3 linked regions of the Saccharomyces cerevisiae S288C genome follow. The gene in region 3 interacts genetically with the main gene of each other region. Each region holds a gene or a part of one and is shown on either strand. Other genes may lie near its edges. The genes, in order: COX5B, YGR016W and YGL262W.

Region 1 (3,165 bases), on a different chromosome or scaffold from region 3:
TATATATCGGAGATTGGAACTCTTCAAATGTCAATCTAACATCCTTAAGACTTTCCAATATTGTTCCTAGGTCTTCCACATTTGGCTGCACAACTCCAGCTTGCGACAAGAAATCCGAATCTAATGGATTGATGTAAGCAGTGGTATTTTCGTTTTCTTTGCTGCTTTCAACGAATGTTTCAGGTTGAGCAACAAGCTCATCATCATCAAAGTCATTGGAAGTAAAGCCGAAGGAAAATGACATATTTTAGCTACACAACACTTCGGTTCTGATTGTCCTTTTCCTCCCCATAGAATCGATGACTTGAACATTTTTATTTTTTAGATTGGACTTTTTTTTTTTCCAATTTTCCATGATTATTTTTTTTCTTCTTCGAAGTAACAATGAATGATATTTGCAGAAGAAGGTACAAGGAACTAAGTAATCAACCTACTGAACTAAGACCAAATGCGTATATATGAAAACAATCTACTTATACCCCAAACACGGAATATACGAAACAATTTTATTTTCCTCGTCTACTTATTTAGATTGAACTTGAGAATAACCTCCCCAAGGATTGGCATTTTTTGACTTCAGATACTCGTCTGATTTCAACTGCCATTCCCTGTTCATAGTCTTTGGAGTTTCAGGATTGGCTAATAGTCTCACTAAACCAAAGAGCCCAAATGAGATTCCTAACCCTAAAAATACTCCTTTAGTTATAAATGCAACATCGCCTTTTCCGTGTACAGGTCTTCTAGGTCCCCACTCGCCGTAGGATATGTACCAAGCTGCTTTGATTTCCTCGTTATTGAGAGTTTTCCATGGAAGCTTTTGACGTTCTGTCAAATTATCTGCAATCTCTTTCTGTTCTAAGTTTGGCATATTTTCCCATCTTTCGGGCAGATCTGTCAATGTTGCCTTCGAAAGGGCCTTTGTTTGAACAAATCTTGTCCCAGTTAGCCGTGCCCCTTTAGTAAGAGAAGTACGCAACACTGCAAAACTTGTGCTTGTACACCTCGAATGTTAGTAAATGGATATCTTTTAAAACTCAAAACAAAAATCAGTGTTTGTTATACATGCTCTTTACAATGAATATGTGGCGTTATTCCATTGTGAAAGTTTCCTGCAAAGAATATTAAATTGAAATAATTGGTCTATTGTTTAATGCAACAGTCATTTATAAAATATAAATCAAATGAAATTCGTCTTTTTTCGTCTTTTGCACGGTATTTTCTGAACCCCTCAGTAATTTTAAGGGGTCCATGACATTTTTTCGAGTACTCGTTCGTTGCCTTATCGAACAATACAAAATCAAAAAAAGAAATTGGTGAGTGTCATGCCGATATAATAATGACAAAACAGTACGATTATATGGAATTATGTTAACATGAATAGTATTTAATGAATCGAAAATGCAACTATGTATGAGCATATGCCAACGGACCGATGAATTGTTTTACCAAAATGGTTCTTTGGATGTCTGCTGGAGGACGGAGGATATGCTCATACGGTGTTGAAATTTAACCGGTAACTCTCGAGGTATTTTTAGAGAACGCTGTTTGCGCGTCGGCTGCTGCGCTTTGTTCAGCTTATCGTTTCTCCATCGTGCAAATTCGTTTATTGATATTTGAATCATATTTCCTTCAATTTCTTTTCTTTTTGCGTGGTTTTCAATAACAACGTTATCCCATTTAATCCACGCCATGGGCAAACTAACAAATTTTTTGTACTCCAAAAGCTCATACCCAATCTTTGTGTCCAAATCAACCCCATCAAAGTTTACAACATATCTTTTATTTTCCATGTTGTTCTTTTTATCATCATAACTACCTCCATACAGGAAAATGAATTTCAACATATTCCACAATGGAGTCAGGTGCGAGGGATCGACGGGAATCTTCTCAGAAGTTGGTTGGTTGTCCTTTGAGAGCAAGTCGATATCCTTCAACAATATCATTACTTGCAAGTCGAGCACAAATTTATCGTTTTTTTCGTCTACAAAATAATATAGCGGCAAAAATCTTTTGTAATCAAGTTTATCGTTGAAGTTAATAATCTTCAGTCCTAACGGATATAAGTCCCTTACTGCCCTTCTATAAGAGATTTCTTCCATTTCTTTTTCCCTTTCCATTTTTCTTGCTTTCTCTAAAGTAGCTTTTTCCAATCTTTCCATTTCTAAGACTTTCTGCTTCTCCTGTTCTTCGATCCTTTTTTTCTCATCTTCGGCCAGCTTTTGTAGTAGTTCCTGTTCTTTTTTTCTTTTCTTTTCTAATCTTTTCTTTCTGTATTCTTCCTCTTCCTTGAGTCTTGCTTCTCTTTCAGCAGCCGTTTCTTCATGTATTTTACTTATCTCTACAGATTTTGCCTTCTTTGGAGAATGAGGTTCCATAGAGAGTGGTGAGATACTTTTTAATTTTTCTTCATCTTGCAAGGCATTTGTTTTACGTTTTTTCCAGTCCAATGAGTATTGAGTACCAACATTTTCATTGTCATCCAATCTCTTGCGCGAATCCGAAGTTGTAGATTCCTTGACATCACGATCGTTATTAAAGTCATCGTCTGCCAGATTGAGCATCCTCGTATCGTCCTCTTCGTCTTCAATTCTAGGAGTGGCACTTCTTCGGCTTGCTAATATGGGTGATTGCGTTTTCTCTCTCTTTTTTTCATGTTTATATGTTTCATTATTATTATCATCATCATCATCATCATCATTATTATCTTCAGAGTGCTTCTTCAAATAGTTATTTATAGCATTTTCAATCAATTGAATTTCTTCACTGTTTGTTATTCCCATTATGCTGTTTTTGGCATAGTACAAAGCGGTACGACCCTTTTTATCTCTTTTGGTTGGATCTGCACCTGCCTCTAATAGCAGTTTAACAGTTCCAAGATGGCCACGACCTACAGCTACCATTAAAGCGGATGTTTTATTATCCCTTGAAGTTTGATTTACGGGAAATCCGAATGCCAAAAAGATACTTGTAATATCTTCATGGCCACACTTAACGCTTTCGAAAAATGACCTTAAGTCTATCTTACCACCATTTTCTACATACGTACCAACGTATGGTAAATGTCCCTCCTTCGAAGCTTTAAACAGTTTTTCTTTTCCCGCTCTAGAAGTAACATCTGTCCAATAGAATTCCTCTTCCGGAGCTTTCTCATCAATATTGGAAGCC
Region 2 (2,942 bases), 520 kb from region 3:
TCCAATTGACATGGTTTTGCTCGCTCACCTCATTGGCATCATCTACTTAATTATAATTCTAGGTACATTGGTCATGTTGTTTTCTTGATAGATATGCAACGCCTCGAAGACTATTTAGCAAGCTATTATATTGAAATTAGAGACTTCTGCACTAGATAGCCTTTTCAAAACATACGGATAAACTGATCTTTTAACGTATCTGCACTTTTGTACGAAGCTGGAAAGTTCCGAAGAAAGTGTTAGCTCCAAACTGAATCCTCTTGTAAGCTATTCTATGTCCCCTTTGACTAGGTTAGTCTTTTACTGGATTTTAAAGCAGATTCCTGTGACGATGATTTTGGAATTAAAGCTATATATATGTATGCTTGAATAAGCTCGTAGCAGTACTTTTTGGCCTTGTTCACAAATAAGGAGCTGCCAACCAATCAATTTGTAATATTAGTAATAAATATTCCGGAATATACTAACCAATGAATATTACAATACGTCGCGATATAGAACTAAGCATTTTTGTATTTGTATTTCAAGCATCTTAGATCTGCGATTTCATCTTCGATATTTCGAGCCCATCTTTTCACAAGCACAGCGACCCAGAATAAAAACATTGGAACTTGCAAACAGAGCACCGTTTTTTTATCTTCGACCACATGATTGAAACTTATCCAAGCCATAAGTACTAGTAAAATAATGTTTATTATGTTAATAGAAAAATTGCTCACTCTTAACTTAAACTTTTTGAACAAAAGATAGTCGTTTACAATATCATATCTAAGTGTGATGCACGAACAGATCAAAGAATTAGCGCCAGCAAGAAGTGCTAACTTAATATACCCTCGCGATTTTCTTACGAGTATCATTAGCAGTCCGCCATATAGCAAATACAATATGCTTAACAGGTTTATGTACAGCTTATTTGTGATGTGAGCATTAGTCTCAAATTTTTGTATGAGTTCTTCCTGCTCTTCTGTATCTAATGGTAATATGGATACATCTTCTTGATCAGATTCACCGTCATGAGTGTAGTCAGAACTCAAGCTTAAGATCTTTCTATTGAATCTTCTTAATCTGGACATGATTGAAATATTTGCTTTATCTTAGTATCCTGTTTAAAAATTATTCTAAACTCAACCTATCATAGAAACCAGCCTTTACTGAATACCACAGCGCGTCTTTTGGGGAAACTGTTTTTGTCTCATGCCAAGGTCGAGACGTATACAAACTGCAAAATAAAAGGAACCGTGGGAAGAGGGCTTACAAATGTCGAGACTAGCGCATAATAAAGCGCTACCTTATAAAATAATTGTCGATTTATCATTCCATAGAACGCGTTTACCCTCAGATGTTTCATCGCTAATAAAATTCGAGCAAAGACCTGCAATTATTAACATCCATGGCCTTTTGGGCTCACACGTGATGTTTCATTCTCTCAATAAGCTTCTTTCAAGGAAGCTTGACGCGGATATTTTTTCTGTTGATGTAAGAAATCATGGCATTTCACCAAAAGCAATACCTTATGACTACACTACACTGACCAATGATTTGATTTATTTTATTGAAACTCATATTGGCTTGGAGAGACCTATTTATTTACTGGGATTCTCTATGGGTGGTAAAATTGCATTATTAACCACATTGTACAAGAATATTAATATACGAAAGTGTATATCAATTGATTTACCGCCTTATGAAACCCCAGAATTAGATCCCATGATATTACAAAACTATGACTTAATAATGCGGATTATCCGCAGAGATGTCAAGATTTTAAGAGGTTCCCCCAGCTGGCAGAAAAAAGTTCTTGAGCTTTTCAAAAGTTTGGAATGTAATAAGAGGAAATGTGGTGGAGCTGTGGCACTCTACTTTGCCAACGGTTTTCTTTCTGTAAAATCCAATAATGTACACCAAGCACAGTTACACTATGAACAACAACAGCATGATCCTTATATAAATTACTCAATGCCTCTCTCCAGCATGCCGAACCTGTTGGATGAAGTGAAAAAATGGCCGGATCTATCGAACCAAAGGGACTTCTTCCAAAAAGGCACAGCCAGTCGTAAAGTTTTATTCATGAAAGGCCTGCAGTCTAACTTTATTAACAATGATTATTCCCTCCTGAGGTATAACTTTCCCTGTGCTGATGTCCGAGAATTTAATACTGGGCATAATTTACTGTTGGAGAATCCAGAGGACTCATTCAAATGTATTCTGAACTTTTTTGCGGAGGAGACGCTGGATTTTGAATAAAATCTTGATGTACGTAACGCACTTTCTTCTCGTGTCAGGCCCAAATCAACGCACACAGCAGTGCTTCGATCTTTGATTACAAAGTAGATAATGATAAATGGAATAGATAAAAGTATTAAAACAACGTCTCCTTGAAGGAGAACTATACATAAGATATGAAATAAGTAGGTATCGTTATAAGTTTATAAGGTTATGCAAGCGGAGAAAGTCTCTGCAGACATTGCTATCAAACTTCGTTCCAACCCAGGGAGTTTTGGCTAGCAATTGGTCTTGAAATTTTTGGTATGGAACTCGATGTATTGTGCCTGGTTGGAGTTGAGTCATTATTTGTCAACCCGTGACCATAGTAACTATCATCCATCCAATTTTGAATTCGCATAGATTGTGTTATGGATTCTTGAACGCTCATTCTCTTTTCATTATTGTAATTTTTCTCTCCACCAAATTCACTTGAACTGATACTGGAAATTTCTGGGTTCTTGATAATTTCTTGACTTTGAATCCGCCTTCTTATGATATACTTGAAAGCAAAAATCATGAATAAAATATATAAGCATCCACCAACAACAACGCCGATAACTAAACCAATGATTTTTTTCTTTGATTTGCTAGAAGTGGATACGTTGGAGTTAGATTTGGATGAATATTCCAAAGTACCGGCATCTTGATAGGAATTTCCGGAAGATGAAGACACACCG
Region 3 (2,733 bases):
ACATGTTTGAGCAGAAAATTTGGAATTCGCCAATACTGTTCTCAGATGGTATTGATTGTGAAAAGTTTTTTAAATGGTATTTCAGTACCCCTGTATCTTCGCAAGCGTCTTTGTCAGTTGGTTCCACTGATTTTGAACTCTGGCCATATATAAAAGAAGCACAATCAGCTTGCAATGATGTGTAATTGGTAAAGATATTGATATACTATTCTTAAAGACCAAAAAAAAGCTGTTAATAACCCAAGTTTAAACATTAGTAGATAATGCAATATTTGATGAAGTCTGTAGAGTGCCACTATACATCGTAATAAAATTACACAGTACGTGCTTGTACGGTCGCCATATCATGAGATTACTTGAAGCTTCCTTGAAGCTCATACCGTAACCAGTTTTATACGTTTTTCTTTCCTCATACCAACATCCTTTAACGTTTGTTGAGAGAAAATGCGGTAGTTTTTGTAAAACACCTTACGTGAAAGATATTATTACTATTTCAAGACCAAACGCGTAACGAATGTATATTCTAGTACTGCGTTAAGGTATGAGTTACCCATAATAAATTTTATTACTATTAACATTTTCTTGGAGTACTTCGTTTTCTTACTTGATGTACGTTGCTATACAGTACGCATTAAAGAAATTGCAGCTATCGTCGTGTTTGGTTCATACGGTTGAGTTAATATTTCAAAATAATGTCCGTAATAATTATTACCGACATCTGTCTGCCTTTTATTAACATATCTCGCGTTCAACCTGTGCGTTGCTTATCGCTTGAGTAGGGGCGAAACACCTGTTGAAATCTTACGGTGAACTTTCACTATTTAAAGGACTGCTTTTCTCCAAGAGTTTTTATTATACAGAAATATCGTAGCAGTATCCCAGCGGGAGATAGATCCTTTTCAGAAATTAACGTTCATGACTGGTCAAGAGAAAATAGGCGCTAAGCGTTTTCAGATCTGCTGGAGAGTTTGGAGACGCAATATACTGCTATTCATCTTTGTATTTGCTGTTTCCTTTTATTATTTTCGTTCAAGAGATGCAGAAGCTATAGTTAATACTACGGTAATTGCCTCACCTGTGGTGACTAGTTATCTAATGAAAGGCAAAACTACTATTGGGCGTTAGCAGGTGGTGCCAGTGGATTTTCAATTACGCTAGCAGGACTCTCCGGTGCATACGCCGCTAACAAATGTACAGCAGATTCAGGTAGTACTCATGCTGGACTGGAGCTGTAGTTACATTGGTAGCAGATGCTTTAGATGGAGTTGCTACCACTGCTGATACGATTGCTGGGGCAGCGGCTTTGACGGCAGCAGCGGCAAAAAAGATCTACTGGATATATTGCTACTATTGCTGGATTAGACTTCCATTCTTCAAGTCCTCGTAATTTCACTGCAATCAACACCACCATGCAAACAGTTGGTCTTGTATTATCAGGAGCATTTGACTATATGAACACATAGAAGGCTAATGGCTTAGAAAAGAGAGAACAAAATAACACAGTTACAGAAATGCAGCATGTTTGATATTTTAGTAGTCAGTTGGGTCTTCATGTGCCACTCACATGCGTAATAATGTGACTGAATTGGTCAACAGTATAATAGGTGTTCAAACACCTGGATCGCTACCAGATACTCTTTCTGGGGCACATTCATTGCAGAGACGCATAAGCTATTTTGACGTCAATTGGATATCATGGAATTGGGACAATGTAAATGTTGATCTTAATAAAGAGGTAAAAAAAAGTAGGCCCCTCCTTGGGGAGGAGGACGATCAATGCATGTTCGGTTGGTTCGCAAATAATCCAGGGTGGAAATATTACTGGTCGGTAACTGATAATCCTGATCCAGGATATAAAGAGAATTACTCTGACATTGGAGATGAAAATGCTGTCCACGGTGAATTATATTTTAACACATATGGGGGGTTGATGGCTTCTGTAATGACAACAAAGATGGTGCTCAATGCGAAGAGACAGCTTGTGGTTATTGATACAATTGTGGTAAAGGCCATCTGCGATTATGTTATGAAATATTGGAAAAAAAAGGTTAACCTTACTACGATATCATTATATTTGATGTTAAAGTTATAAAGCCAGACATTTTCAATCTTTCTTTAAATCAATGAAAGAAGATGCGCAAATATTGAAAGCATTGACTACTAAGACTTAGGAAAAAGCTTCTGTTGACGATTTATAATGTTATATCAAATAATTAAATTTATTTCCTAGATTTTTGAATTGTGAGAGACATCCCTAGCATGATTTTTTTTCACATATACTTTCAATTTTAATAGAAATGGAGCCGTCAAATTTAACTTATTTTCTATTTTTATAATTGAAAATTTTATTTATTCATCTATTCTACATTTTATTTTGGTGTTGGGATTTTTTTCCGGCTTAAATATATGGTCAGATCTTTTATTTATATTACACTTATCTACAATTTGTATTTATATCATCAAAAAGAGCTTTTTATTTCTATATTTTATTTTTCGTTACTTACCAATGTCTATAGAATTTCGTTCGTAAAGGCGTTTGTCTCTAGTTTGCGATAGTGTAGATACCGTCCTTGGATAGAGCACTGGAGATGGCTGGCTTTAATCTGCTGGAGTACCATGGAACACCGGTGATCATTCTGGTCACTTGGTCTGGGGCAATACCAGTCAACATGGTGGTGAAGTCACCGTAGTTGAAAACGGCTTCAGCAACTTCAACTGGGTAGGTTTCCGTTG

The links.
Region 1: mutations in YGL262W (region 3) and COX5B together harm fitness more than expected from each alone (negative genetic interaction), as found in Saccharomyces cerevisiae (one large-scale study listed by BioGRID).
Region 2: mutations in YGL262W (region 3) and YGR016W together harm fitness more than expected from each alone (negative genetic interaction), as found in Saccharomyces cerevisiae (one large-scale study listed by BioGRID).

The regions. Positions count from the first base shown.
Region 1 is NC_001141.2:153,124-156,288, reverse strand, and holds COX5B (cytochrome c oxidase subunit Vb), read right to left. Parts: upstream 1,068-3,165; coding exon 1,067-1,067; intron 979-1,066; coding exon 524-978; downstream 1-523. Other genes in the region: HPM1 (protein-histidine N-methyltransferase), read right to left, coding at 1-244; HOS4 (Hos4p), read right to left, coding at 1,443-3,165. UniProt on the Saccharomyces cerevisiae protein: Component of the cytochrome c oxidase, the last enzyme in the mitochondrial electron transport chain which drives oxidative phosphorylation.
Region 2 is NC_001139.9:520,392-523,333, reverse strand, and holds YGR016W (uncharacterized protein), read right to left. Parts: upstream 1,074-2,942; coding exon 501-1,073; downstream 1-500. Other genes in the region: YGR016C-A (uncharacterized protein), read left to right, coding at 1-88; EAT1 (putative hydrolase), read left to right, coding at 1,258-2,244; MSB2 (Msb2p), read right to left, coding at 2,471-2,942.
Region 3 is NC_001139.9:3,748-6,480, forward strand, and holds YGL262W (uncharacterized protein), read left to right. Parts: upstream 1-1,564; coding exon 1,565-2,092; downstream 2,093-2,733. Other genes in the region: COS12 (Cos12p), read left to right, coding at 1-185; seripauperin PAU11, read right to left, coding at 2,543-2,733.